Alligator mississippiensis: one gene and its partners. The protein of the gene in region 1 purifies or fractionates together with the protein of each later gene. This does not show direct contact. Links are inferred from orthologs where the notes say so. Each region holds a gene or a part of one and is shown in the gene's direction. Other genes may lie near its edges. The genes, in order: SLC12A6, STK39, LGALS3 and RAB6B.

Evidence for each region.
Region 2: the proteins of SLC12A6 (region 1) and STK39 purify together in Homo sapiens (affinity purification with mass spectrometry; 3 studies listed by BioGRID and IntAct, with this or other methods). This does not show direct contact. The link is inferred for Alligator mississippiensis from reciprocal best matches to the Homo sapiens genes SLC12A6 and STK39.
Region 3: the proteins of SLC12A6 (region 1) and LGALS3 purify together in Homo sapiens (affinity purification with mass spectrometry; 3 studies listed by BioGRID and IntAct, counting the BioPlex papers as one, with this or other methods). This does not show direct contact. The link is inferred for Alligator mississippiensis from reciprocal best matches to the Homo sapiens genes SLC12A6 and LGALS3.
Region 4: the proteins of SLC12A6 (region 1) and RAB6B purify together in Homo sapiens (affinity purification with mass spectrometry; 4 studies listed by BioGRID and IntAct, with this or other methods). This does not show direct contact. The link is inferred for Alligator mississippiensis from reciprocal best matches to the Homo sapiens genes SLC12A6 and RAB6B.

What each region holds. Positions count from the first base shown.
Region 1 is NC_081830.1:36,384,359-36,392,150, forward strand, and holds the start of SLC12A6 (solute carrier family 12 member 6), read left to right. Parts: upstream 1-4,582; 5' UTR 4,583-4,719; intron 4,720-5,248; 5' UTR 5,249-6,150; coding exon 6,151-6,394; intron 6,395-7,792. Other genes in the region: NOP10 (H/ACA ribonucleoprotein complex subunit 3), read left to right, coding at 1,172-1,225, 1,705-1,845.
Region 2 is NC_081827.1:214,962,035-214,969,901, forward strand, and holds the start of STK39 (STE20/SPS1-related proline-alanine-rich protein kinase), read left to right. Parts: upstream 1-4,603; 5' UTR 4,604-4,684; coding exon 4,685-4,856; intron 4,857-7,867. UniProt on the Homo sapiens protein: Effector serine/threonine-protein kinase component of the WNK-SPAK/OSR1 kinase cascade, which is involved in various processes, such as ion transport, response to hypertonic stress and blood pressure.
Region 3 is NC_081825.1:293,160,709-293,167,917, forward strand, and holds the start of LGALS3 (galectin-3), read left to right. Parts: upstream 1-3,945; 5' UTR 3,946-4,030; intron 4,031-7,209. UniProt on the Homo sapiens protein: Galactose-specific lectin which binds IgE. May mediate with the alpha-3, beta-1 integrin the stimulation by CSPG4 of endothelial cells migration.
Region 4 is NC_081830.1:30,392,679-30,399,831, reverse strand, and holds the start of RAB6B (ras-related protein Rab-6B), read left to right. Parts: upstream 1-4,027; 5' UTR 4,028-4,113; coding exon 4,114-4,183; intron 4,184-7,153. UniProt on the Homo sapiens protein: The small GTPases Rab are key regulators of intracellular membrane trafficking, from the formation of transport vesicles to their fusion with membranes. Rabs cycle between active GTP-bound and inactive GDP-bound states.

The sequences.
Region 1 (7,792 bases):
AAGTTCATTGCAAGCTTTCAGGTGCAATCACCCTTCTTCAGGCATAGGAAGTCTCTGCTGTTCTGAGACTCCAAGAAATGAGAGAAGCTAGAAGTGTGGCGGGATGTCAGTGAGAACGTAAATAGGTAGAAATCAGGAAAATAAAAGGTAAAGCAGGGAAGGGTGGGGGGAGGGGGGCAAAGGTGAGTAAGGGGGTGTAGGTTGTAGCCATGTTGGTCTAAGGACGCAGGCAGACAAGGTTCTTTGGGTAAATCTGATATCTTTTATTAGACCAGCTCAAATAGTTGGAGACATGGGCGACTGGTGCCACCTTTGTGGAGGGGGGGCACGTGCCCCACCCTACGACCAGTCCTACCAACTTGGGGTGGGGGAGGAGTCCCCCCTCCACAAAGGTGATCTCGCTACCGGGGGGGCCCCCGGAGCCGTTCCTGTGATGGCCGATCGCTGTGCTGCAGCCTGCAGCAATTGGCTGGTGCTTTCAGGGGGGTACCTGCTCTCCGGCCTGCCCCCACACCCATCACTGAAGTGGTGAGCACAGCCTGTCAGAGGGTGCACCTGCGCTCTCGGGGGGGCACGTGCACCCCCATGCACCCTCTACCTGTCTGTCACCACTGACTGGAAAAATTCTTCTTTGCAAGCTTTCAGGTTTACCCTTGGCCAGGCTGAGGAAGCATCTGCAGTTGGTGTGTGCTCTTCCTGGATGGAAGCAATAGTAAAGGAGCCAAAGGGGAATAAGGGAGACTGCAGTCATACAAGGCAGAAAAGAGGCTGTCTGTACAAAAGGAAAGAGCTGGAAATTTGGAAGACAAAGGGCAGGACCCGCCTAGCTCCTTAGACCAACACGGCTACAACCAAGACCTCAGGCCCTGGAGAAACCCTCGGCAAGCAGATCAAGTCCCGCGTTTGGAGGACCTGCAGCTTGGTTTGGCGTGTTCATTTCCTGGCCAAGCACAACGTATTTCCAGAGGCTGAGGCAGAAACGGGGCGCTGGGCGGGCTGCCCGGGACCGGCGTCTCCTACAAGTCCCAGAGTGCCCGGGGAGGGGAAGGAGAGGCGGCCGCAGCTCCCGCCCCCCCCGTGCGCCGGGGCGGTCCCCGCTGGCAGTCGCGGGAGCGGGCGCGCTGGGAGCACGTGTGCGGCTGCGATCTGGGGCCGGGTCGGAGCCGGAGCCATGTTCCTGCAGTACTATCTCAACGAGCAGGGGGACCGGGTGTACACCCTCAAGGTGAGCCCCTGCCGCAGCCCCGGGACCTTTCTCGCCTTCCCTTATCTGCCCCAAGATCTCTTCCAGCCTCCCGCGCACGTCCTGTGCAGCCGGGGCCGTGTGTCGCTCTGCCCCTGGGTGCAGGTTTGCATCCCCCTGGTCGGGGGAGGCAGGCAGTGGGACAGCCCAGGGCAGGTGGGGCAGGGGGGTTGTGCCCCAGGGCTGGGGTGGGACCTGGGGGTCAGGATTGAGTAGTCATGGCAGAGTTGTGCCCGTGGAGCTCAGGGCTTGGGGGGGCAGCGAGTTGGGGGTTGAGTGACATGCCCTCGCCACCTGGGTGGAGGCTCAGAGCTGGGAGAGGAGGTGGCAGTGAGTGAAGCACAAAAGTGGAGCCGTGGGGGGTGGGGACGTCAGGGTGGCCAGACTTGGGTATTTGTATTTTAGGACCCAGTTGCCGTGACCTGGTATGATATCATCTCTTTCCATTTCCTTCCCTGTAGAAAGTAAGCCCCTCTGGCCAAGTGACTTCCTCTGCACATCCTGCCCGCTTCTCCCCAGATGACAAATACTCCCGCCACCGGGTCACCATCAAGAAGCGCTTTGGCGTCCTCATGACACAGCAGCCGCGGCCCATTATGTGAGGGCAGGCCTTTTCCCAGCTGGAAGCACAGAAACGTGCCCCTGACTGCCCTGAAATGGGACAGTCCTGCTCAGCTGAAGCTGGCTCAGTGGCTCCCTCTGCACCAACTCATCTTCCACTCCTTTGTTTATCCCTCTCCTTGTGATCTGACTGCTGATCCTAAACACATCCTAAAACCTTTCCCCATTCTCCTCTTGTCTGTGGAAAAACTGCTTTGATTCCCCTTTTGATCAAGCCAGAGTTAATCACTGTAGTTGAAAACATGGTTTGTCTTTTGATTGCCAATAAATTATCTGATGTTTATTTCTACCCTTAGCCCAGACTCTCCTTCCCTGCTGAGCTTTTAACCCTCTAGTAGTGGTGAAGCTGTACTCATTTGTTTCATGCTGTGCAGATGTTCATGTTGTGTTAGGAACTTAAGCATAACAAGGGAAGGTTTCTGACTAAGCTTTCATTGTTTTAGTAGGGAAGCATATTCATCATATTAGAAATGTGAGATGGCCTTTATTAGATGTGGGGGAAAGCTGCATTCAGGGTCTGATATGGGATCAGGTGGTTGGGCCGCATGGCAGGAAAGGTGGGGAAGATTCTACAAAGTGAAAGAGAGGAGACTGCAAGCTTGATGGAAGAGAATAAGCTTGAGTCTCTGCTGCTCAATTTGAGAGGGAAAGATACTGAATGCTAGTATCCCAGCACTGCACCACTCAGCTGCTTAGCTTGGCATTCAGGACTGGCATCAGTAGTGTAACTAAAGCACCCACTTAAGGAGTGCAGAAATAATACTTACCACAGATGCTGGCCCGCCATGCCACCAGCAGCCTAGCCGCTGTCTTTGACTTGTGCGTTGCTGGTGCCCAAGGTGTCACACCCATGATAACTCTGGGGGCTCTTGTTTATCCAGAGAAATATAAGACAACCCAAAGCAAGTTCCTTTGAATGATGCACCAGTTTATTGGGATATTATCAACCTATCAAAATTACTAATAGTGGCTATATGCAGCAGAAAATACATAGATATACTCAGTACTAAGCAGCGAGCTCTGAGGGCCCTCAGAATCCATCCTTATAGTTGAAGCAAGTTCCAGTTTCCCACACAAATGCCTTTGTGTGGAGGAGTTTTATACAGCTCAGATTCAAATTTCTGTATTCCTGCCCATTTCTCTGCGATAACTCTGTCTTGGCCAATCACGTAGGGAGCAAGGAAGCTCTGAGTCCTGACCTGTGACTGCTGTTCTTACCTGGAGTCATCACTTGGTGTTATCACCTGCCTAGATATCTCAAGTGTAAGAGTGATGTAGCTGTGATGGTCCAGAAATTATGCGAAAGGCAAGGATTTCTTAGGGTGAGATCTTTTATTGGACCAATTAAAGATCTCACCTTAAGAAATCCCTGTCTTTTGCATAGCTATCTCAACACACTTAAAACTATCCTGTTTCTCACATACTAATCACTGATTCAGACTGGACTGCTTTTGGGATCAGTCTACCCGGAGAAGGAATGTCATGAGACCCAGCGCTGGGCAGTTTGGGGCCTCGGGGCTCTCCAACAAAAGTGCAGGGCTGCCTTGTTAACACCTCTGTTTGCTGTGACCTATTTGGGACTGCCAGCACTTGAGGCTTCTGTACTCATTGCTATAACACGTAGGTTGGTTTTTATTTCCGCGTTTTCCCTTTAACCTGGGATTAGAAATGGCTGAAAAGGCCATTTTATGCAGCACTGAGAGAGATTAAATCGGAGTTTACTGAATCAATGTCCATTCATTTGTGGCTGATGAAAGAATGTTGTATGGGCAGAGTTTGGAACAGAACCCAGTCAGCTGTCCTGTTGCTGCTTTAACCACTAGATATTACTCCCCTGCTAGAGCCAGCCATAAAATCTAGGTGTGCCCTCCCAGGTCCCTGCCCTGACGTCAGAGGCTCATCCCACAGCATGGGCTGCAGCCTAGGAGTCATGACTTCTGGACCCCAGCAGTAACTACTAACTAGATACTGCTTCCCTACCACAGCTTGGAATGCAATTATAATCCTTCTTCCCACTTCTATCTTTTCCTTTTAGCTGCAAATCAGCTCTACTCATTTCAGAGACAGCAGAGAGTTCAGCATACTTTCACTGAAGTATGTGATGGATAAAGGTCACTGAAAGTTTGGGCTGTGCCTACCACCCAGAGGCCTCTTAAAGAGCCCAGCACTGTCAGATCTGTGCCAAAGAGGGAGTCACTAGTGTCATAATTTATACAGAGAGGCCACAAAGATGGGGATGTTCATTAACCCGAACCACTGAGAAATCCTGGGCCTGCTGCGCAGGCACCAGCACCCAGGACTCAGCCGGGCCCAGGGAGGCGGACAGGCAGGTGCCTGGTTTGCAAGTGCAAATATCAGCTGTCGCCTCAGAAGAGTCCCAGGACTCTTTGTCAGAGCCTTTGGCCTTTGGTCTTTGTCAGAGCAGGTGGACACAGAGCAGGGACAGCCAAGCTCTGCAGGACACAGGACCACTGGTCTGACACGGAGGCCCCAGGGCCTTGGCCAGGTGCCACACACAGCCTTCTGCCCCGGGATCATGAAGGGAAGGGCGCTGAGCTGCGCCCCTATCCCTCATTGCTCCCCACTCCTCTACGTCATCGCTCTTCCTGCTGAGGCTGACCTCAATGGGAGGCTAGAAGACATCATGAGTCCTTCCGGTCACGAACTACAACTCCCAGCGGCCCCCGCGGCCTGCCCCGCCCCGCCCCGCCGAGCCGGTGCCTGCGCGTGCGCATGCGCCGTGGCGGGCGGGAGGGTGAAGTGCGACTCTTCCAGCCCCAGAGCCCTTGCACCTGGCAGCCTCTTCTTCTCCCTCCTCCCCGGGCGCGGCCTCCGGGAGCAGACGCCGGTCCAAGGTAAACGACCGCGGCCCCTAACAGCCTTTCCCGCCTTTTTTGGGGGGCCCTATTCACGGGTACAGGGTTGGTGCGCATGCGCAGCTGAGCGTTCTCACCCCCTCCCGTTCCCCTAATTTAGTGGCAGGCTGCGCATGCGCAACTTGTCGCCCCGTCTCAATGGCAGGTGCCTGTCTCTCCCCATTACAGAGCAGCAGCTGCGGCATCCCTTGCAAGGCCATGTGCTGCCATGGATCCCCTTGCCACCACTGTCTGGCCCCTGCAGCAGGTCCGCATGGCAGGGCAGTGTTGGCCCCAGGCTTAATGCTGCCCCACCCCCCTGCCCTGCCACCTTGACCCTTGCTTGGTTTGGTTTGGCTTGGCTTGGCTTGGCGATCCTTGGGCTGCCCCAGTTTGCTGTAGCAATGGCACTGAGCTTGGAGGGGGCGTGCACATCCCAATACTGTGGGCTAGTGTGGGTGAGGCCTTGTCTGGTGTCTCCTTGGACCGAGCGCTCTTTAATAGCAACCTTCTTGTCCCATGACCCTAGGGAAAATCCAGCTGTGTTAACCTTGGGAGCTGGTGGAACTGGAGCATCGTTGAGTCACGGGGACCTCGTGGGCATTGCGTGGAAGAGTTTTTGCCCGGCGGGAGGATATTCAGCTGCCAGAGCCCTGAGGGATGGTGGCAGTCCTACTCCAGGACTTGGGATATTCAACCTTCCAGCACACTTTTTTGGTGCATCCAAAGTGCAAGGTGTATTAGCACAGAGTGCTCTTTGGGACCTGCTGGCGTACTCGCTGTCCTTGCTCGCCACACCAGAAATCGGTCAGTGATTCTCCTCCTCGTGCTCGGATCACTTGGTTTGCTTGGTCTCTTCGCACATTTTGCACCAGGACTTGGTGAAACCTCTTGTCTTTTTTTGCACTTTCACATGTTTCTAACCAATGGACCCCTCTTCAAACCAAATCCCTTTTTGGATATTTACCCAAAAAATAATTATTTGCATCAGGACGTGAAAGTTTCTTCTTGCCTGTTTTGGCACTGGAAGTCTGCAGAGTAGTAATAGTAACGGATTATCTGTGCAAACAGTTTCAAATCAGGAACTCTGACAAACAGCTCACTGAGTGAATCAGATAGCTGTTGATTGATTTACTGGGTAAACCATGGGTCAAGCCCTGCACTCCCTTCTTAGCCACACCCATGGAAAATTCACTTGATAATCAAGAGGTGTCTGGACACCACATAGTAGCAGATCACAGGAGATCCATGGTAGACATGCATTTGCTGTATGGTGGAACTTCTTGTTATGCAGTTCATTTTGCTACCTTCTTAAATTATCACTTCTTTTTTATTTATTAAGATTTCTGGATGATCATAATTTTAACATTTCCAGGAATGTATTAGATTGTTCCACCACCCTCCCAACAACAGCAACACAGTAGCTACACAATGGCTTCTGTCCGGTTCATGGTGACCCCTACGAAAATCGATGACATCCCAGGCCTCTCTGATACCAGCCCTGACCTCAGCTCCCGCTCTAGCTCCCGGGTTCGCTTCAGCTCCCGGGAGAGTGTTCCTGAGACAACCCGGAGTGAGGGCATGAGTGACTTCTCTGTAGCGACTACATCACTGGCTACGGTAGCAGCTGATCCAGCTAGTGATAAGATATCCAACCCTCGTGATGTGACAGAAGGTAAGAAGGATGTAGATGTTGATGTATGCGAATGAGGGGACTGAAAGTTATGGATGGTATTAATGCTTCTGGGTTGGCTTGGGCTTCTGTTGGACGTTAGAGGGAGACTGCTTCTGTATTAATTAGCAGTAAAGGAGGATGTTCTGTGGGGATGTAGAATCTGTCCACCTCAGTTTGTGCATACATTGGAAGTGGAGGCATGTGTTTTATGATAGCAGTGGAGATTGATCAACAGCTCCACCTTTAGTACATCCATTTGCTAGTTATTTTGTGGGCCCTTTGGAAATAGCAGACCTCTTCCAGCTACACTAGGGCCACTTCTTGGTATGTTGGAAATGCAGTGAGCTCTTTCAGAGCTTTGGGGTTGTATCCATTTGAACTGATGGCTGCTTTAGAGTTGATCACATTTAGGGTGGATGGTATGTTGCTATGACTGTTCTCCATAGGTAGTGGCATCTCACCAGATCTTCTGGCCACATGGAAACTCCTGGAATATCATGGAAGAGCAAAATACTTGCATTAAAGGCCAGGCTGGCACTGTGTTTGTGTTTCCTGGGAATGGGTGCCCACTTAGAGCTTTTCAGTTTTATTAGTGAGGTGACGCCCTGCTTGAAGATAGAAATAGCCATGTGAAGTCTGCATTTTCAGTGCATTTGTGGTGTTGACTCTGAACAGCTAAACTTGGTTCTGCTTTTCTTCAGACTCTTTTCCTATATTGGGAAATGCTGTATAAAGCCCGGGGGAAATGACTTAGGGGAATCTCGTTTCCTGTAACTGTGTTGACTTCCTTTTTATTGAAAATCTAGCCATAACTGGCTGCTAAGAGTCATGGCTTCTATTGGGATTTTTAGATAAAAGTTATGAGTTGGGGTTTTTTTTAGCTATTAATCCTGAGTCTCTTAATTAGGCACTGTGGCTGCCATAATGATACTGCAGGTAGATGAGTGCCTCTTTTTGGTGTTAAAGAATATGTACAATGAAATGCATCTGTCTTCTTAGGTGGGCCAGCAGCGTAACAGCAGCATTATATGCGGGTAGTTCCAAAATGTGGAAATCAGGAATGAGGCAGGGCAACTGGTCTACCAGTCACATTACCTTGGGTACATCTACCAGGGATATGGATCATCACACTGACATGGTTATGCTGTGTCTAGCACCCAAGCTGACCTGCTACTGCCCTGTCCGGTGCAAACCTGAAAGAAAGCAAAGGAGAACTCTGTGTTGCATTGAAACTGTAAAGTGGGATTTAGGGGAAGCAGAGGTGGGTCTTTAGACCTGGGGCACTCTGGCCGAAGTGTCAGGAGGTCTTCTACAGTGGTCACAAGCATTTGGGTCCTCATTTACACATTTTTCCTTGTGCCACAGAGGGAACACTAGGGTCATCTCTGACTGAGACAA
Region 2 (7,867 bases), on another chromosome or scaffold:
TTTTAAAGGGACACACCCTGAACTGCTTGCATTATGTTATAGCCTAGGGGCTCATATTTTGATTTCTGTTTATAAGCTGGTGGACTGGGCTGAGGCTATTGGGGAAGGAGGAGGCCTCATTGGGGGCCCACTACAGTGTGGGGACCCCAGTGCCAGGGTGTGAGGTGACAAGGGGGAGAGCAGACCCTAGTGCCAAGGGGCATAGTTATAGAGGCTGGACTAAGCTGAGGCCTCAACTCAAGCAGACAACGTCGGTATAACGTCTGCGAGGTTTGGGGCGTGGTAAAGAAGTGATTTTGGAGCCACGCATCTAGCCCATAAGGCTTGTGGGTATTGTAGGACACCTCCTGAGTGTGGGACCCCATAAAGGGGTCCAGCAACCTACAGGGTTTCAGGGAGACTGTTAGTACTGTGACCAAGCAGCAACTTGAGGGCAGCCTCCCAATCCATCATTTATGACAGCAAGATGTGGCAGGTGAGATTAGTAGGGCGGAGCTTGCACGGTCACGGTGCCCTAGGGACATCACAGCCATCTCTGGGGTGGCCATATCCTGACACTGCCCAGCCAACCAGCAGTGCCAATGCTACTGGATGGCCCATCAAAGACTGATCTTTCATGTGCTGCGCTCTAATAGTCTGAGCAGCGTCTCACAGCAAGGGGCAGGAAGGAGGCAGACTATGGGAGCTTGGAATGGGGGGGATGCAGGTGGTTGGGGAGGCAGGAAGGCTGCAGGGGGGAAAAAGTGGGTGGGGCAGAAGTTAAGCAGCCCCCTTGTCTCCCCCCTTCCTCTTCATCCCAGCCATTGCTTTCCCTGCTGCAGGAATGGGGACAAATTTAAGATGACCCTCTGATAATTAGATTCTATTATATTGATTTCCACAGCTCATCCGTGAACTCTTGTTTTCAGAGGTTTGTGCCCCATACCCAACATGATCTACAGTACATGACTACTTCATTCATTTGCTACTGAAGTGCAATCTTCAGACTCTCCATCAGCTTGAGGAAGAATTAAGTTCTTCATCAGCCAGCTTGACGCCAAGCTTATGTGCCACTGAAGATGACTATCAAAGGAACTGAGCTAAATGCTGTCATGCAGTTTACCTACCTGGGGAGTGTCATCTCATGTGATGCCATGATCGACAAGGAGGTATACAACAGACTCTCAAGAGCCAGTAGTGCCTTTGGCAGACTCTTCAAGCATATCTGGAACAGTTACAGCCTACAGGCACAGACCAAAGTTCAGGCATACAGAGCTGTTGTTATCTCCATCCTCCTGTATGAATGGTGCTGAGTCATGGGTCTTATATCACCACCATGTACACCTCCATGAGCACTTCCATCAGTGCTGTCTCTGCACCATTCTCAAGATCTGCTGCTATTATGTCACCAATGTCGAGGTGCTACAAAGAGCCCAAACCACCAGCAGCAAGGCAATTCTCCTGCAGACTCAGCTGCAGTGGGCAGGCCATGAGGCCCAGATGGATGACATCTACCAAAGGCCATGCTGTATGGGGAACTGACAACTGGGGAAACATGACAGAAGGACCCCACACAAGTGCTTCTAGGACACCTGAAGAGATCCTCTTTTTGCCTGTGCTACTGACCACAAACTGTGGGAAACAGAAACTGCAGATCCAAATCAAAAAGGCAACAGCCCTCCTTTTGAATGTCAGTGCAGAGCCAGCATTGAGAAGAGGAGGAAAGATCTAGTAGCAATCAGCCATACACGTGTAACTGTTGCAGCAGGATTTGCCTCTCTCCAACTGGACTGATTATTCACCAGTGGGCCTACAACCAGAGTGGGCATTTATCTTCCTAATATCTTCATCTTTGAAGAACTGCCACAACACCTGGAAAATTATAACATTTATAAATTTTTCATATATGGAGTCTACTGGGGGGGGGGGGTCATCTTGCATTCAGAGTCATCTTAGCTTTGAGTAAATATGGTAGTTCTTGTCTTCCCTCACTGGAGAATACCCTGATGTATTTATAAACAGCAGTTCTCAATCAGAGTGCTGTTAAAACCCTTTAAGGGTGCTGCTCAGTATTAGTGCTACAAGGTGTATAAACACCTACACATGGAATCCATAGTGTTAAAAGTATTTTAACCTGCTGTGGTATTTATGAGTTCTTTGCTGTAGTAAAAAAACCAAAACAAAACAAACCCAAACAAGTGAAAGCTAAGAGCTGAGGGGTGCCTAAAAAGGTTGAACCACTGTTACAGACCCATTATATCCCTACTCAGCCCTGGTGGTGGTCTAAACAAGCCAAGTTCTTCTGGTTGCCTACTTTAAGGCAGAGCCTTCATTCCCTTATCATCCTTCTAGAAGTCTGTCTTTGCACCTGTGCCAGTTGGAGTTCATTCATCCTCAACATCTGGACCATTAAGCACAATTCTGGTTGTCCATACTGTTTCAACAGTGTGCACATTTAATACTCTTCTATCCCTACTGGAAATAACTCAGCTGATTAAAAGTTAGGATCATATTTGACTTTTAACAGCTGTATCAAACTGGGGGCTCACAGTTATCCTGTAATTGATTAGTAACACTCACCTCCTTCCCTGTTCTAGTCCTATTTAATTAGTTTATAGCAGAAGTCTTCATTTTTGTGCATAACCTTACATTCTGCATTATTGACTCTGACTTTCATCCCCTATCTGGTACTTTAGTCCTGAAGATTATAAGCATGCTCCTATTTCTTGTGCTAGTCATTAATAAAGCACTAAACAAAACTGATCATGAAGGAACTCCACTACTAACATGCCTTCAGCTGATACTTCATCTTTCAACACTATCCATTGTAGTCATTCCTTAAGGCAGCTCCTTAACCACCTTACAATTCCCCTACTCATCTTCATCTTCCCTTTCTTAAGTTCCCAGAGGCCAATGTATAAAATACGTTACTGAAATCCAAAGAGGAGAGATCGACTACATTTTCCTTGTCTAGAAACCATTACTATATGACAAAAAAATTAGTCCAATCCAGTTGTCTAACCCAATATACCTTTGGTTAAACCCATCCAATTTCCCCTTTGTATCCATGCCACTTATCATTGTTCTTTATTTCAAGGTCTTTACTTGAGGTCAGACTTACATATCTCTATTCTTAAAGAAATATTATATTTGCTTTCTCCAATTGAAAGTTACCCCAACTGCCTTTACAGTTGCTTGTTATCAGACTTGCAAATTCGTGTGCCTGTTCCTTCGGGTATCTAGGAGGTAGACTATCCCACCCCCCGCCAATTCATTAACATCTATACCTCTTCTTCTCACCCAGTAGTAGCAATTTCTATTTTCATAGCCTCATTCTCATTCTCCATCTTGCCTTTCCCCCTATGGCCAACAACATCACTGTTACTGAAACCTAAGGCCAAACATTTGTTAGTTTTTGGACATACCAAATTATCCATAATCTCTACTCTATCTTCATTGTATACTGGCCCTGCTTCTTTCTGTTCTGTTATTATATGAGTAAAGTACCTTTACCTATTTTTTGTGTCTAAATCAGTGTATGGACAGGTAAGTTACACTTTTTAAAAGGTCTGGGAGTTGTAGTAAGAAAGGATTGTGTGGTACGGCTGAATGCAGTATTGCTGCTGTATCCATCTCCTCCCAATAGCAATCAGTGAAGTTAAACTGGCAAAAGTTAGGTTTCATTCAGGGGTAAATTACTCTGGTACAGCCTCTTATTTGGCAGCTTAGGAGCAGACAGGTGAGAGTTATACTGGATGAGCTGACATCTGCTTCTGAGAAATAGATTCTGCTCTCTCCCCTTTAAAATCTTGTCATCAACCATCTGTCTGTGGCCTCATCCTTTTTGTCAGCTCTTACCTTTTCTTTAAAACACATTTATTGATTTATTTTTAATAAACAGGTCCTTTTTCTCCATTTCTAGTGGACCCCCTGCTTATTCCTTAAGGGGTTATTCATCCCCTTAGATGTGGAGCCCCTTCCTACAGTTCTTGTTTTACTCCTCTACTTGGCAAGATAGTTTCTTGATCCTTTCCCAACCTTGCCGTGACACGACAGGCCTCCTCCACATCGAAGGGCACCCTGCTCCTCAGTCCTGGCCGGCTCCCCCTTCGTGTATGAACTTGGCCATGGTGGAACCAAAACCTCAGCTACACGCTTAACTTTTGCTTCTCTTCCGTGTATTTAAACTCCCCCAATCCTAAGCAAAACACAGTAGAAGAGACTTTACGTTATTTAAACATCTCTTCAGGGGGAAAACACCCCGCTAATCAGGCAAGTCAGGCCTAGGCGTGCACCCCACCTCCTGCGGGTCCGCTGGTGTCCCGGGGCCGGGCAGGGAGCGCGGCTGCTTGTGGAGGCAGAGCCACCCCCGGCCGCAGCGACACACGCGGGCGAGCGTCCAGCCGGGGTGCGGGGGTACGAGCAGGCCGCAGGAGCCGGGAGCAGCTCCGAGAGCCCAGGGCACGGAGGGCAGCAGCAGCAGCAGCAGCATGGGCCCCGCCCCGGCGCGATGCACTGGCTGGCGGGGCTCGTGCTCAGTGCCGGCTGCTGCGGCTGCTCCCTCCTCTGCCCCCGGCTGCCCTGCCTCCTTCCTCCGCCGCGCGGCGGCTGCTGGCAGGGGGCGGGGCGGGGAGCGGTGCCGTGCCGTGCCGCTGGAAGGGAAGTTTGAAGGAGGTCGCGGGTGCCCGTGCACTCCGGTAGCATCATGGCGGAGCTGAGCGACTCGCCCGTGCACGTCCAGCCGACCCAGCCCGCGCCTGTTCCGGCCCCGGCCCCGACCTCGGCGCCGGCCCCCGCCGCTGCCGCCGCCGCTCCGGCCGCCCAGGCCCCCGCCTGGCCCATCTGCCGGGACGCCTACGAGCTGCAGGAGGTGATCGGTCAGTGCCGGGGCCGGGGCGGGGATGCTGCGGGCGGGATGCGCCGCCGGGGCCTACCGGCGTTTTCTCTCCGCTCCTTGCGGCGGCTGCGCCCGGCCCTGCCGCTGCGGCGGCGGCAAAGTTTATCGGGGGCTGGTGCCGCCGGGCGCGGGGGGCGGCGGCTCAGTGTAGCCCCGGCCCCGGCATTATTAACTTATGCCCTTCCCTGCTGCCCGGCCCGGCCCGGCCCGGCCCGGCCCGGCCCCGCTGCCTGGCGCCCGGCACGCGGCCGCTCTCGGAGCCGCGCCGATTACTCTGCATTTTCCGCGGCGGGGGCTGGGAGGCGGGTGAGGCTCCGCGCCGCCGGCGCCGCTGCCGCTGTGGTGGCGATTTCCTTCTCCTCGGCGAAAGCCGCCTTCCTCCTGTCACCCGCCCGGCTCCCCACACGCGGTGCGGGCGGCGCCCTGCCCCCTCGCCTCGGAGCTGCCTGGCCGGCCAGGCGGGAAGAGCCGGGCGCGGTGCAGCGCTCGGGCTCCTCGGGTCTGGGATGGGGGGCCCCGGCCCCGGCCCTCCCCACCCGCAGGGAACCTCTTGCTTTTCTGTGCACAGCCCACACCAAGGCTGCAGGAGTCCGAGGCCGGACCCAGGACGGCACGCGCTGTTCCTGAGTTAGGCCACGATCCGCTCGGCTCCCAAATTTCTGGAGCCTTGTGCTGCCCTGGGTTATCTTTAATATTGGAAACCGATGGCTGCTCGTCAAACGCATGACAGCCATAACTATGCGCTATCGATTTGCGTTGTAAATAGTGAGCGCTGGGTCCTGAAGCTGTTTATTTCCCATCGTTTGAAACCAAGTCTTGAGAAGAATAAAATTTTTTCCTTTGCAAGTTTTGCCAGTGCTTGGTTTAAAACGCCCACTCCCTTTCCTGCTTTATTCTAGTGACTGGACAAGTCTGAGGCTTGGTCTAGCCGTAAAAGTTCTGCCAGTGCAGGTGTGTTACTAGGAGAAGGGAGGCCCCTCGCTAGGAGAGCTCTCCACCACATCTCTGCTGGGGTTTCTGCAGTTATGCTGGCAAAACAACTCATTTTGCCTGGATATAGTTTACTTCGCTTTGCGAATGGGTCTTATCTAGCCTAGAGTAAGAACTTTTTATTTTGCTGGTATAGGCTGCATTTCCAATGCCAGGATTTGCTGGTATAGCTAAAGGAGCAAAGCCTATGGCACAGAAAAAGCCTTAAAGCAGTGCTTCTCAACCTTTTCTGTACTGGGACCCATTTCTAAACATCGATGACCCAGTGCCCTGCACTCCTGACCTGCTGCCTCCCACCCCTGGGCCCCAGTGCACCCCCCCCAGTGTTTGGCCATGGGGGGCCCCAAGTAGCCCCTAGCAGGCTGGAACTCTGCCATCCTGCAAGGGAAAGCCACTGTTTCTCATGGTTTTCTCTTTGAAAGGAAAATCCATTTTTAAAGTTTGTTCATCACCCTTTCATATATTCTTGTGACCCATGGGTCGAGAAATGCTGCTGTAGAGAATGTTAAAATAATTCTTATCTGTGTTACCACTGGAATCTGCAGCATGCTTTTTAAAGAATGGTTATCATCCTTTTCTGCACTTTTATAGAGCTTTCAGAAGTTTAAAATTCTAGATTTTTTTAAAAACATTCACAATTGCAAGGATGCACTTTCTTTTTTTCTGTAGAGATGATACTGCTTATAGACAGACCTCCCTGCTAACTGACTGGGTGGTATTGAGCTACAATATGATTAGTAAATACGTTATCAGGGTGGCTTCCCAGCAAGGAACTCAAGTTTGGACTCTATTGGACCTCATCCAGTCAGGTCCTGAGCACCTCCTACCCTGTGCTGAGTATCAACAAGTTCATAGGAGCGTTTTACCAAGTTTCGGTTAGTTACAATGACTTCTCTACTCTAAATGCAATGAGTAATACTTCATACTAGACAAATATAAAAATACCATGCTGAGCAAAATAGGTCTTTCAACTGAAGTTTCGTATATTGCTAATTTCTTTCTTTTTCTTCTCCTTTTTTTTTTGCCATAAGTGACAAGGGACTGCTATGACCGAAGCTACTTGTTTAAACAATAAAAATGACTTCTGACACTTCCATTGTCTGTACGTGGATTCCATGCCAATCTTTAAATATTAATATATAATTTTATAATAATATAACATTAATAACTAGAGGTATATCAGTATATTGGTCCATATCGGCACCAATAAAAGGAAAATTTACATTATTGGCATTCGTCTTTTTTGGTTGATAATATCACAGATAAATGCCGTGTACATGAGTGCAGCCGCAGCATGTATGCGGCCAGGAGTGTAGGCCGGCAGCTTGGAGAGTAGCAACCGGCTGGTAAGTCTGTTGGGGGGGAAGGGGAGGGGCAGAAGGGGCATAGAGGCAGATCAAGACCCCTGTGGTGAGGAAGGGAGTAGGACTGGGGCAGGAGCAGGCGTTGCCCAGCTGGGGTAGGTCAGGGTGTGGGACAGAGCTGGTGGTTCATGTGGGGGGGGCGGTTCCTGCTGCTGCGCCCACCCCCAGGGGAGGCATGGAAGGCATATGTTCCCTTGGATCTGTGCGTGGGGTGAGGGTGGGCTGCCATGGTATGCTTGGAGCTGGGGCTGCTCCAGCCTCTTCCTGGTGGGTGCACTCGGGGCGGGTGGGCGGTGGCAGTGCTAGGAGGGAGGGCTACAGCAAGTTTTGGGGTGGCTCTAGCCGCCCGGTAACCCCCTCTCCCAGTACTGCTGCTGCTTGCCCTGCCCAGCCTGAGTGCAGCCACTGGGAAAAAGCTGGAGCAGCTCCGGCCCCAAGCATGCAGCGGCATCCCGCCCTTGGCCCGTGCACAGATCTGGGGGCCCACATGCTCCCTGTGTCCCTCTCCTGGGGGTGTGCGCAGTGGTGGGAGCTGCCCGCTCCCCCCCACCCCTCCATACCTCCTGGGTGAGTGCTGGCTCCATCCTGCACTCTGACCCACCTCAGCGGGGCAGCACCTGCCCCAGCCCCACTTCTA
Region 3 (7,209 bases), on another chromosome or scaffold:
CTTATTGGACCCAGCCCTCTAATACATAAAGAACATCCATTTACTGCAGCTGTTTAGTGCTGCTTAGTTTAGATATCTGGAAAATGAACCAAAAGCTGAGATTCTGATTTTCACCAAAAACTTTCTTCAGCTTATTTTAGATTCACATTGACCCTCTTCTGCATCCGCCCCCAAACCTGAACAGTTTGGTTAAAAACCTAAAGTTGTCAGAACCATGCAGTTTGATTTTCAAATAAATCCTAAATAGCTTTAAGATTTCTCCATTTATATGTTGGGGGGGGGGGGGGGGTTGTCAAAAGTATGGACAGAAACAGCCAAAAAAATATGGACTGAAACATTCGGACCAGCTGCCATTAATACACAGCAGAGAGGAGGAATACACAGCATCAGTACCTAGTGCATACTATGACTTTTAAACAAACCTGTGAACACCTGGACCAGGGGTAATCTCTGCTCAGAAAGGTCCTGATTTAGGAAATCTCTTGAACAATTACTAAAGCACTGTCCTGGATCAGAGCCGACCAGTAGTAGCTGACAGCATTTCACTCCTCCTACTCGGCTGGAACGGCATCGTAGTTTTGCAGCATCTCCTTCCCTACTGTTGCAGTTATTTGGCTGCTCTTGGTTCTGCTGCACTTCCCAAGATGGTGTTGCTATGTGTGTGTGTTTCTTGTGCTATTCTCCATGCATTTCCTCTTGACACCCTCCCCCCTGCTTAAGTACTATGGGGCAGCTGTCCTCCTTTTTCTAGGACTTTTTGCTGCAAGTGCAAATAAACAGTGTGGATGGGTGTGCCAGGTTGTAAAAAAAAAAGTCATTGTGTAGCCACAACACCCACTTATAACAGGATCAGCCGAGAATGCATCACAGCTATTGCAAAACCATGGTTGTGCATAGAGAGAGCGCAAATGTGCTAAGGAAAATTCCTGCTCATGAGTAGGTAGCAAAGCTCCCTGGCTGCAGTATACACAAACCCAGGGAGATGGTCAGCAAGAAGCATCCACTCCAGCATCCCTGTGTGTCAATATTCCTGAAGTGAGCCGCGACGTTTCAGTTTGATCTGCACTGCAGTGAGAAATTGGGTAAGAAGTGCAAAGAGGCTAGCAGCAGAACTGCCACCCAGGCACATACTAAAGAGGCTGCCTTCCTTTTCCAGCTTAATCTTCTTGGTACGTGGAGTTGGTACATGGCCTTATGAAGTTCTACCCACCAGACTTGGGGGTGTAGCACTGAAATTCCTCAGTTCGGACCCAACAGGTTTGAGTGTGTCGGTCTGGCAACAGATAGTTATCCTTTTCCCCCAGAGATATATCTCTAAGTCTTTAATGGTATCTTTCCACTTATAAATTTAAAACATAAAAATCCAGTACTAGAGTCTGGTTTTTTTTCTGTTGTCTATTGCCTTGTGTGATCAACTCGACTGCCTTGAAATCCAATGAACAAGTAGCAGAGAGAGACAAGTCTGTTGTGGCCTGCAATAAAACACCCCTCTGGCACGCAATGATTCCTTATCTTCGCTTCAGTCGCGTTCTTTGGAAACTTGCTAGCTCTTTTCTAAATCTAGTTGTTTGTCTGTTCTTTTTTCTATGTAGCTGGTTCCTCCTAATTATGCATGGAACAATCACACATGCATGCCTGCCTTTGGGCTATTCCAGACCAGGTTACCTACATCTAGTGGTTGCACAACCTGTTCCCAGTTTTAGGTAAACTTTGCATACTAAACAGGCACAGAAGGAAAGTCCTAGGGATGTATATTCTACTTGGAGCTCATTTTTCAGGTGATTAACATGCAGTAAAGGCCCCAACCCATCTCTTCCACCTCCTTGCTCCCTTTCCTTTAAGCGCACTTGTCCCGCACAGAGCTGAGCTCTATGATATTCAAAGGTTATGGACCCCCTGTCCGAATTCCCCTTTGCATTAAATCCCTAGTGTCTGGAGTCATGCTGGTTCCACTGCCACGGCTCCCCTCCTGCTTACCCAGAAGGCAAGGTGCAGTGTCTGCTATGTCAAACCTTTGCACCTGAGCCAATGGATAATGCTGACATCTCTCTACCTGAGTGCTCAGTTAACTTTTCTGCCATAGTATTTGAAATCCTTAGTGTAGCTGGAAAAGAGCTATTGATACACAGACCTAGGGAGTTTCTGAGACGGCTGCAGGGCACACTGTTTCTTTTGTTACTCTGCATCATTGCTTGGGTAGATGCAGTTTATCTTGCACAGCATGAGACATGACCTGAAAAAGAAGAAGCACTGGGTTCTGGTGACCAGTGAAAGGGGCCTAGGTGCTGGCTGTACATCTTTTTCACTTTTCACATGAGAAAAGCAGGCCTAGTGATCAATACATTTTTTTTCTGGGAGTCCCTATGGAGGACTAGAAAAATAGGAGGTTTTCTAGTCCTCCATAGGGACTCCCAAAAAAATCTGTACATGTAAAGCCATACATATACAGTAGAACATGTCACTGCGTCTGAAGGCAATGGTGAGCGCTAAGTAGGCTGGTCACAGGCTGAACGTAGCTTTTCTTAGTCTACTCTGACCATGAAGTTGTGGGTAATAGTGAGGCCTCTAAGCAGTAGACAGCCTAGACTGTATGTAGAGATGCCAATGGGGACTTTGGAAGCAAAAGCTGATTAATCTAGAGGAAAAATTGGTTTCTGTTCCATTTTGCATACCGATTCCTATACAAGAAATGCTGAAGGAAACTTGCTTTACTAAATTGTGTACATCCCCAACCGTACTCCCTATGCTGAGGGATACCACCAGAGTCACCTCAGCTCTGCCTGACCCAGCTGTCCCTTCCTCTGGGGCCCTGATGTCAGCGGTATCAGCCCTAAGCCACATCAGCCCCACGTCTTCAAGCAGCTGAGGTTGGAGGGAGGCAGTTTCTCTGCATGAAGGTACCTGCATGTTCTGGGCTTCCCATGGGGATCCTGCTCCGTCTCCCACCCCCGGCCTCTTGCACCCGTTCTGGGTCCCACAGCAAGTAAGGCAGCTGCACCGGTCCTGCAGGGCGGAGGGAACTCTGCCCAGGGCTTTGTGGCCTGGCAGAGGGAAAGGCTCCCACAGCTGCAGGGATAAGAACATAAGCTCTTATGGGCTAGACAGTTGGTCCATCCAGCCCAGTATTTCGTTGCTGACTTGCTATTGTTACTATTTTCCCTACTTGCTATTACCCTGAGACTGGCACTCCCAACCCTCCTTTCTCTTTTCTTGTCCCAAGAAGTTTGTTGTTGTGCCTTCCCAACTGAGGGAGGCTTGCAGTTTTCTCGGTGGGCCTCGGCCCACTGCTCCTTACTTATCCAATAGGCCTGTCTCTGAGTGGCGGGGGTGGATATTTTAGAGGGGGGAGCGCTGAACCGGGTGGATCTAGGGCAGTGGGTCTCCTCCTTTTTTAGACTCATTGCAGCCCTCATCAGACTTGAGGCACGGCTCCATAACTGTAGTGAACTGAGCAGCACCCTGTTTCAAAAACTAGTGTATTTATTACTGTGTCTTGCCTCCTTGCAGCCAGGCAAGGGAGACCCTGACCCTGCCCATCTCCTTACACTTCCCTGGACACCCTTCGAAGGATCTCGCCCTGCCGCCCTGGTGGACAGTCACAGAAGTCAGGCTGGAAGGGACCTTCAGAGATCAGCTAGGAGACGAGATGGGGCAGATCCAGGATTTCCCAAAAGGGGGTGTGGGAGCAGCAACCCGCACCCCTTGCTCCTAGCCTCCTCTGCCCCACTGGTAGGGCAGACCGTGCTGGGGGAGCCCCCAGCCTCGTCACGGCCAAGCCCCCGGGGAAGGGGCAGAGCCCCGGCCCCTGCGCGGGGTCTCTGCCCCGCTCCCTCCCTCTGCAGAGGGGAGCCCCGCACCAACCTCCCCATCCCGGGCGGAGCCTCCTCCTCCCCGGGGAGGTGGAGCTAGGGCCGCCCTGCCCCTGCCCCGCCCCGCCCCGCCCCGCCCTGCCCGGCTCGGGGAGGCTGCTGGAGCCGCTGCCCGCGCACTGGCGCAGCCGCAGCCGGAGCCGCTGCAGCCCCGCACGCAGGTGAGCGCGGGCTGCGCACCGCGGGGCAGGGGCAGGGGCAGGGGCAGGGCCGGCTCCGCTACCCCCGCACGGGGCTTGGCAGGGCCCCGCACGCGGCTGCGGGACGGGCAGCCAGGTGTGGAGCCTCGGGGCCCTCCAGCGTCCCCGGTCTTCCCTCCCAGCAGCAGCGCTGCCCGCTCTCCTGCTGCTGGGCTTGTTCCTAAAGTCTGCGCTCCCGGAGTGCGAAAAACTTAGCTCTTTCTCCTATCTGTCGCTCTATAAATAGATCCCTATCTCTCTATATACATAGGCATAAAAGGAAGAGCTCCGTTTTTCGCACCCTGGAAGCGTAGACTTTAGAACAACACCCAACATCGCTGGAGTTGGCAAGGCTGCATCAAGCCAGGGTCCCGCCGCCCCCAGGGAGAGACTCCGGGCCGCACCTGGCGAGGAGCATGCCGGGCTTCTGCGGGGAAGGGGGTGGAAAGGTTGAGTTACGACTGACGCTGGGACCGAGTCCTGGCACACATTTCCATTCAGGGGATGAGCTTGGAGAACTGAATTTCCTGGCTTAGGGGTGCATACCTGATCCCGAATGGTGTCGGTTCAGGGTTGCATACGTAATGCTCTCTTTACTGTTTTTTAACAAGGGAGGAAGCGACAGACTTGGCACAATGAGGTTGGGCAACTGGATCTGGCACGAATTGTGCTTAAAACTTAAGCTCAGTTCCTCCGGTCACACCTATAGAGCCAGGGTGTTTTTTCAGACCTGCAGATCAAACCCCTGATACTGTGGTGTTGGCAAGGCTGCTTTGCTGAACATGGCCGTAAACTTTTTAAAAACTTTGCCAGTGCCCTAGAAAGATAGTGGGCTAAGTCTGTCCTTTTTGTGAAAAAAAAAAACTGGTAGCTAATATAACATGAACACCCTGCCCCACCCCCAAGCCCAGGAAGAGTATCTTTTATTTCCCCTCCAAAAGCTGGTGGAGACTCACCTCAAACTTTCTAAGATAAAAATGTCTGAGACTGAGCATCGAAAGGTTCAGCCCAAAAGAAAATATTCTGGGGAAGCCTCAATGAAATTGTCTGGCAAATCCCTCCTATCCTCAGTCTTTACCCTCCCTCCCCTGCCTACCTGCACGCACGCGCACATGTATGCACGCAAATCCCTTTTGTCCTCAGTCTTTACCCTCCCTCCCGAGCCTACTTGCACACACACACACATGTCTGCACACAAATCCCTTGTCCTCAGGCTTTACCCTCCCTCCCCTGCCTACCTGCACGCACATGTATGCATGCAAATCCCTTGGCCTACACATGCACACGCACATGCACAGAGCTGGAGCAGCGGACTATCCTAGCTGGTGGGTTGGCGTGCTGTTTCTAGCAGTTCTTATACCGAGTAGGTAACAGGCTGACTGGCCGTTTCTCACTTTTACATGTCCTTAGAAGGGAGAATGTGACCAGGGCAGGAAGGGGTAAAAGTGGAGATGTCTCTGACAGTGGACCCTTATGAATGGTTCTGGTGCTTGTGAGACAGTGTTTTAAACCCTTGTCTTCTGGTGTTGTTGAAACCAAAGGGTTAATGAGACCGTTTGCTGCTGTTCTGCAAACCAGCTGAAGTGAGTTCTGCTCCCTCTCAGGAGCGGGCATGAAGGAAACAATCCTCGCTGGGAGAACACTCTGCCAATGAGTAGAAAGAGTTCTTTTATGCTTTGATTTTTTGCGATGGCATCTGGTAAGATCCCGCATGACAACTGACGTGTATTCTTATAGACTGCCGTGTCAGCTCACAAGATTTCCTCTTGGCAAAAAAGCCTGTACCAAGGGCAATATGAGTAAGACATGAAATATTTGGTATTTCAAGATAAAGGCAGGCATCTGCCAGGGTTGAATTTTATCTCTGTACCCATTCACCATGTATGCATAAGGTACCATTAAAGAAGGCTTCGAAGATAACAAGCAGGTCATTTGAGTTAATGGAGTTTATATAACACCGTAGGATGGGCCACAGAGCTTCAACTAGAGCAGAACTGAATATGCTGAGTGCCTTGAACAAAAGCATCAAGAATTGTGGAATGATGATTAATGCTAAGAAAAGCAAGACAAGGAAGTTAAGGAAAATGCAGCAAAGTATAAGATTCTGTCTAGACAGCAAGGGATGACACGTTTCTGTACTTGGGTCACTGCAGGCATACTGATAAGTTTCTGTACTTAGGCGGTTTGCCTATATCAGATGGGAAATGCGGTAGAAAAATGAAAACAGTAATTGTTGCAGAAAGTTCATTCTGTATCTTCATTGTCTTCTGCGTTACGGAAAGGTAATTTTACACATCTACCTGACACGCTAGATGTGGCCAGCCCCCCCGTGGTTGACTCTGGAAGCTGGACACTGGAAAAAATACAACCAAACACTAGGAGGTTAATCAGACCTGTGAATTCTGGGGCTGGAAAAGAATTTTGGAAATCAGCCGGATCTCCATACCCACAAGTGACGACCTGTGCAGAAAGATGAACTTGGAAAGAGCACGGCTGCTTGAAATACATGATTCAAGGAAAAGCTCTTTCTGTGGACACCTACCCCGGTCATCACTAAATGGCTCAATTCCTGCATTTTATACTATGAGACAAGATGGAAGGAAAACTAGGAAAGAGGAGGAAAATAAGCGTAGCTACATCAGAAGGATGGAGTAGTATCCACGAGAGACCATGTTTTACAGCTCTGCCATCCGACCCTCAAAGATGGAGGGTGGTGATAGATAACCTCCAAATTGGAGGTGACTCTTGAAGAAGACAACAGCTCACTATTGCCCCTCCAGAGCTATTGTTAAAATAACAAAACACAGTATTCCTGTGGTTATGAGAAGATTGGAGATGTTGCTTGGACCACATAATATTAACCCAAGGGCTGCTTAATGCTAACACCTTTTAACATCGGCCACAGCACTAGGAAATCTCTTGTCCGGAGGGCTGTTGCCAACTCCCCCAACTCTTCAGATCACAAGATATTTGTGGTCTATCCTAAGGCCCTGTGAACCCTATGATTATGAGTCTATACTGAAATCCAGAGGTATGACTGCAGCTCATGTAGATATACTTGATCTAGTTTTAAAACTAGCTTGCTTGGTTGCTGCTAGGAGTCTAACCATGGTATTGTAGAGCTCAGCTTGGGCTTGTTGCCTGAGTATTTACCAGGGTGT
Region 4 (7,153 bases), about 6.0 Mb from region 1:
AGCTCAAGAAGTCTAAGAGCAAAGGACTATGGAGAAGCATGTCCTGTGCCTCACCCACCTTTATCCCCAGTGAAGGGATGGTCCTGTTGGCCTTAAGGGGAAGTCTTTCCAGTAGTACTTGATCCAAAAAGAACTGTGGGGGGGGTGGTGCTTGGATGAACATTCCTTGAAGTGTGGGAGAAAGAAGTGAAGGACTTTCTCGGGCAGAGAGGGAAAAAAACTGAAGATGCCCTTTTCCAGCTGGTGCTGTTTGTGCTTTGCCTTCATTTGTATGTGAGATGATAGTTGCCATCTTGCCCAGCATACTAGGGACCTTCAGAGGTAAAGCATGAGCTATTATAGCTTGAACTAAAGAGCCAAGCCCCTCTACCTGCAGAGTCTCTGTAGATTAAGCACAAAGAGCCATTACTTACCAGTGGGTTACGCTTGCATCCAGAAATCAGTCCATTAAAAGTATATACAATGCAGTCACTCTGTTCATTCAGAGACCCCGCAACAAGGAAAATGGTGGTATGGCTTTACTGGAGCAATGTAGTCTTTAATTTTTACTCCCTTAAAAATGTTTCTTATTTAGTGTGTGTGGCTTTTATTACTTTTTTTTTTTTTTTAACCAGTTGGTCCATAGATCTTGTTAGTCACTGAATGGATTGCTGTTGTATTATTTTGACGGTCTCCAGCTGCTGTTTCTTTAACGATCTCTTATTGACAAGTTTTACTGTTTCTGGTAATGTTGCCTTTTTGGTCTTGCATCCAGCTGTGTCAACAGCAAAGGACCTTAGAGGGTGATGGCTTTTGGCATGCAAATAAGGTGCATGCCTTTTTAACGAGTGCTTTCAACAATGTTTTCAGCCTCCATGCAACATTGGTCTTGACGTGAACATGGAGATGCAAATGTGATTCCTCTCTGGAGCCAGCATGGAGCATTTGGACTGAAGTTGTGTGTCTTAAGAACACCTTGTTGCATCCATTGCATCACGTAGGCTGGATGCAGCAAAACCAGCCTGTGGGTTAAAAGAGCACAGTAGACAAGTGGAGTTTCACAATCAGCCACATAGACATCTTTTGATGGATAAAAATGGTCTGGCTTTCTTTCCCAGCAGAGTTATGCTCATATCCCCTGAGGGCACTAAACAGGCCCCCGTGCTATAGTTTTCAGAGATCTTTGATATTCTTGTTTCCTCACAGGGCACATACAACCTCAGGACTTAATGTGTTGGCTTAAGCAGTCGGTTCCAGGAAGTGCCCTTGCAGTGTGCTGAAGGTAAAGATTTGCACCTTAGAGACTAACTAGAACAGATGCACACATAAATAGCATAAGCTTTTGTGAGGCCAAACTCGCTTCATCAGATGCTGTGAAAGGACAGGCACAGAAAATTTGCAGTATGTTGTCCTGTGCTCCCAAACTCCAGTGGGCCTGGTGCACAATTTGGAGCCCTTGCCCTACTGGTATGGCAGTGAGCATGTGCCCCAACCAAAATCAAGACCATATTGTTGTGTTCCATGCATATGCCCAGCTGAGATGGTCCTTATGCTGAAGAGATAAAAAATATAAGTGGGAAGGACTGAGTTGCATCTTAGATGAGAGAGTCCAAGGTCACGTCAACCCTGACCTTGGACCAGTGCTCTAGAGACCTGGCTTCTGTACCTATCCTTTCTCCTTGGTAGACAGGGTGAACAAAGAGGCACAGCAAAATCAAGCCAACTGTAGTGAGAATTGGGTGGAATAAGCACAGGCATACAGTGAAGGAGAAGAACTAAACCATACACTTGAATTGTGGAGCAGTAGGCAACCTCTGGCTTTGTCTCTTTCGAACTAACTGCTAGCTGCTCCCTCACTGAGGGACCATTTCCCAATCCCTAACTACCTCAGCCTCCTTTTAAGAAGCATCTCTAAACTATGACTTCTCTTACTACACCAATGAGCCTGGCCTTGGTTTAACTAGTCTGAAAATAAAGCCTTGTTCCACTGATAAAGGCACTTGGTGAAGAGAGATATAGGGCAGCTGTCACCCCTGTCTGCTGATATCACACCAGTAGGTAGCCCTTCCTTCTGACCACCACACTGCTCTTGCTTTGCTAGGTGGCACTGGGGTGTCCTGCCCTAATACGACCACGTGTCATGGTGGGAAAGAAGGGCTACTTTGAGCAGCAGTCACTGGTGGAGTCCCAACCCATGCCAGTTTTTCCCCTTCTAAATCAACTTAATGTCATCCCACCCCTGATAAGTAAGGGAAGCAATACTGAAGTAAGGAAAACTGTAAGTGCATCCATGGTGAATAAACAAGATGGTTGAAATTAATCTGTGATCTAGCAGCATTGATCTCTGGAGATTTATATATTGGCTCGTCCTGTTTGCTTTTGATTTCATTTAACCTATAACATCTTTAAAAAAAACCCAAAAAGCATGTCCATTTCAAGAACATTGTTAGTCTGTGGTTCCCTATAACTAACACTGTGCTTGGGAATGAATTTGGCACTTGAATGAAAAATCAGGCTGAAGAAATGTAGGTGCAGGATAACAATAAGCAGAAATACGTCTGGGTGGGAAGAAGTATACAGGAATAGTTTCCACTTCAGTTGGGATATTTGTAATGTTCTTTCATTAGGAGCAAAACCGGGCAAAAGGAGGACAAGGGAGGAACAGAAAGGAGCCTACAGAATTTGAAATAAAGTATAGAAATGAAAGGAAAGAAAAGATTTGACTTCAGAAGAGTGGGGAGAATAATCCCAAATCTTAATATTCCATTGGAGGAATCCAGCTAGCAAGTAGAACTGGTTAAAGGATCTCACTGTGAGAGAGGGCAGAAAATTCAATATGAACAATAGCATGATGATAGAGGCAGGGCACATTTGTCCTGTAAACCCGAGGTGCCATATCATGGAAAAAAGGAGATTGGCCTTCTGAGACCAGGACTGGGATTCTGGGGCTGTGGCAGCCAATTTGTGAGGAAAGATTAATGCATTAAATAAAAGGGCCTATTTAAATGATGACTGAGGGAGCTTTGATAGATGTCTGCAAGTACTTGAGAGGTGTAAGCAGTAAGGTACTGGAGAAACTTCAATGCTCCTACCAGATTTAATTAAGAATAATAGCATGAAGCTGAACAAAAGGAAATATAGTCTGAATATCAAGAGAAAAATTCCTAACTGAGAGGTCTATTAAACTGTGTTAGAGCTTCCCAGGGGATATGGTGGAAGTCTCGTTGCTGGAGTCATTTGAGATTACACTGAACAAAGCACTTGACAATACTCTGTTGGAGAGAATCCTATGGCTTCTGGGAAAGAGCTGAGGTGGGGAGATAGACTATTTTCTTTCTCCTTTCTTGCAGTCACTCATTATAGGCATGAAGTGGGAACAGAAGATGAAGCTAGGAATGAACCATCTTTGCTTGTGCTCTTCCATGTCCGTCTCATCGCAGCTTGCGGGTCTGGCAGGCAGGCGTGGGTCTTGACAAGAGCAACGCCATTTTTTTTTTTTTTTTTAATCCCACTCTGAATCCATCTTGGTCCCATGTCCTTGTGCAAGGACATCAAGAGGAATGGGGCAAACTCCAGCTGAAACATCTATCCATCTTGGTCCCAGGTCTTTGTTCGAGGCCATCAAGTGTAGTGGGCCAACCTCCAGCGGGAACATCTGTCCTTCTTGGTCTGAGGCCATCAAGAGAAGTGAGCCAACCTCCAGCAGGAATTTCTGTCCATCTTTATCCTAGGTCTTTGTCTGAGGCCGTCAAAAGGAGCGGGCCAACCTCCAGCAGGAACGTCCGTCCATCTTTGTCCGAAGCGGTCAAAAGGAGCAGGCCAAACTGGAGCGGGAAGGTCTGTCCATCGTGGCCCCAGGACTTCGGCCCATTGCTCTTGGCGGCCCGGCCCTCGGGCAGCCCCGGCGGGAAGGCGCGTCCCTCTGGGTGGCGAACCGCGTGGCAGGCGGCTGGTCCCGGGGGGGGCGGAGCGGAGCGGAGCCGGGGGGCGCTGGGCAGGTCCCGTTCCCCCCCCGAGGGCGGTGCACGGCGCAGGCGCGGGTGCGGGCGGAGCCGCCGCATCCCCGCCCGGGACGGCCCCGGCCGAGCCGCAGCCGCTGCTGCATCCCGTCCCCGTTCCCGCCCCGGCTGCACCATGTCTGCGGGCGGCGACTTCGGCAACCCGCTGCGGAAATTCAAGCTGGTGTTTCTGGGCGAGCAGAGCGGTGAGTGCTGCGGCGGGGCGGGGGCTGCGGCACCCCGGGGAGCCGGGAGCACCCCGCGGGATGCGGACCCGGCGCGACACGAGCCGCGCCAGCCTCGCTGCTGGGGCCGCCCGAGCACCCCGTGGGTGTCCCGAGGGGGCCGGCCGCGCAGATGCGCCCCGCCGCCTGCCCCCCGAGCCGGAGCCGGAGCCGGAGCCGCACGCGATGCAGTGTCCCGCGCAGCCCGCCCGGGACCCCCAGGACCGAGCCGCGCCTGCTTGCCTCCCCGCCGCGGGCGGCTCCCCGAAAGGCGCCTGGTTGCAGACTATAAGGGGCGACAACACGGAAAGTCGCGGGGCTCAGTGATTATTTTATAAGGTCCCGGGTGGCCCGGCGTACAGCCGCCCGGAGCGGGGAGCTGCTGGCGGCCGAGAGCCCGGTCGGTCGCAAGCCTGCAGCTCTCTGTTGCGGGTTGCTGGGGCTTTCAAAGCAAAGCGGTGCTGCGCCTGTCTCGCAGCCTCTCTGACCAGGGAGGGAAGGCGGGCGGCACGGAGGTCCCCCCTGGCATCTGCTGCAAGGTGCTCTTTGGTCCAGATCTGGCAGCTGGCACCATCTCCATTTGCCTTCTCTTCAAGGCAGGGCTTGGCTTTTCCAGGCGTGGGTGCTGGAACAAAAGATCGCTGGACCGTCCACCCTGCCCGTTCTGCAGTGCCCTCCTCTCTTCCCTGCTTTGCTGCTTTTTTTTGTGTCAGCTCTTCCTTACCAAGGGCAGCCTCGTGCAGAGGATGCCCTTTCTTCAGCTTCAGCTACCTTCTTTAATGGAAGCTGCATACAGGATTCCCAGGTAGACAGGCGTTCATGGGAAGGACATACAGAAATACCCACAGGAGAATCCACCCATTAGCTTTCTGGTTGTGGTAAAGGCAAGGGCAGGGAAGCAGACCAACTTCTCAGCAGCTGCGTATCATGCACTTCTCCATAGAAGACGAGATACAGCCCCGTAGCTTTGCAGGCAAATTCCCCAGCCTGCCATAGCTAGGAGTGCTGTGACAGGCTACACAGAGCTAAGCAGTTTTAATTATTTTTGGAGGTGCTGGATGAATATGCTGTCACATAGAGCAGGGACCAAATGATCTTGGCTCCACATGCACAGACACAGAGCTGCATTTTAAAACCACTGTCAAATCTCTTATTTGCCTTTATCAAAACAAGAACCCCCCAGCTGCTGGTCAGTGCTCACAACCTTTGATTATTCTCTCCTCCCTGCCCTGGGCTTCCATGTTTTGCTTGCCCAATAGTGGCTGGCCGGATAATTGAGAAGAAAAGACAGCTTGACACTTCTGCTGTTTTCCTGACAACTTTTATGCTGCTGTTAAAATGGTCCTTCCCTGGCTTGCTCCAACTCAGTTGCCTTGCTCAGGGGCATGTTCCCAGCCTAGGGGCAGGGGCCGGGGCCGGGCAATTGAGATTGACGTGTTGTCTGAGCTCTCTAGCTCTGAAAACCCAGAGGGCAGGATTTTTCCAAATGCTCAGCACTGGTTTAATTCTGCTCTTATTGAAGCCACTGGTCATTTATTCATTGACTTGACTGGGTGCCGAGTTATGTCGATGCTGTGGACGGTCAAAAATTCCACTGTAGTCTCTGAAATTGTAGGTTTTTCCACTAATCAATCCATGGTGCTGACAATACAGCCTGTCTCCTCTAATTAGCAACGCTGTTCTGAGTGGGCTAGCCCTTGGCCACTGAGTAGAGAAAGTAGCCAGCCACATATTCTTCCCCAAGAGAAAGCCTTGTCTAGACCTCCTTGCTCATTCTCCCCCTTCCATGTGAAATAACTCCCCTCAGTATGTAGGCTCCAGTATTTCTCCCTCTGATGGCAGATACCACATCCTAAACTAGCCAATTTGGCTGCTTTCTGGCTAGCAAATAACCCTCTGATAACCCACAGTTGGTTGCTGTCAAAAGCCCAGCAATAATTGAAACCGGACCACTTTTCAATAACGTTTCCCACCCTCCATGTCCCCAGAGTGGAATTTCCAAGAAACGGGGTGGGGGGCAAGCTCATTAAGCTGCGTTCAGTCAGTGCGGAGCCATTTCCAGACAAAGGCAGCCTGTGATCAGAAGCTGAAGAACGTTACCTTGAAAGGTGTTGCTTGTCTGTAAGAGGGGGAAAAGGTTCACTGAAGAAACCTTCACAGCTGGTATGTTGAGGCTGATAATCTGCATATCACAACGGTCCTTTTTATACTGCTAGCATTTTGTCTGTCTGGTTGCCATCACCATGGTATCTGATCACCTTGCCTTTCACCTCCCCAGCATTATTGATTTCCCCAGCTTTACATCATTAGAGGGGGGGAAAAAGTCGTGGGAGTGCTCTTACCATATATTGATTTACAACTGGTAATATTAACCAGCTTGAAACAAAATACCGATGTGCAGAGAAGCACATGATTATCTTCTTCAATACAGTGTTTGTTTTCTTTTATAGAAAAGATGAATACAAGTGAGGAGGGCGGAGGCTGCTTGGTAAATTAACGTTTGCAAACTTCACTTTGATTCCATAATTGCCTTTTTTTCTTAAGAGGTTCCTCAAAATCATGGCAGTGTTTCTGCTGTTCAGATCTGCAGATTTCCTAACTGTAAGAGTTTATTAGAGGAACCTAACAATTTGCATTATTTGGCCTACTCTTTTATTCAGAGTTTAGGCTACTCATTGTCTCTCCCAGGCATCCTTTTATCAAGAGCGTGTTCAGCAGAAAGGTTCCTGAAGAGAAAGGATACGTTCTGTTGCTGCAGGCACTTCCCCGAGATGCGTGTGCACACCTTTGTGTACAGATCACTATTATTTTTCTCTCAAGATAAATCCCCTCTCTGCAAATAAACCAGCTCACTTGGATGTGAGACAGAGAAAGCCTTGAGAATCTGAAGCAGTTGCATCAGCTTCTCCTCATTTTATGCTAGTTCCTTGTCATTCACCTTTCCACTGTATA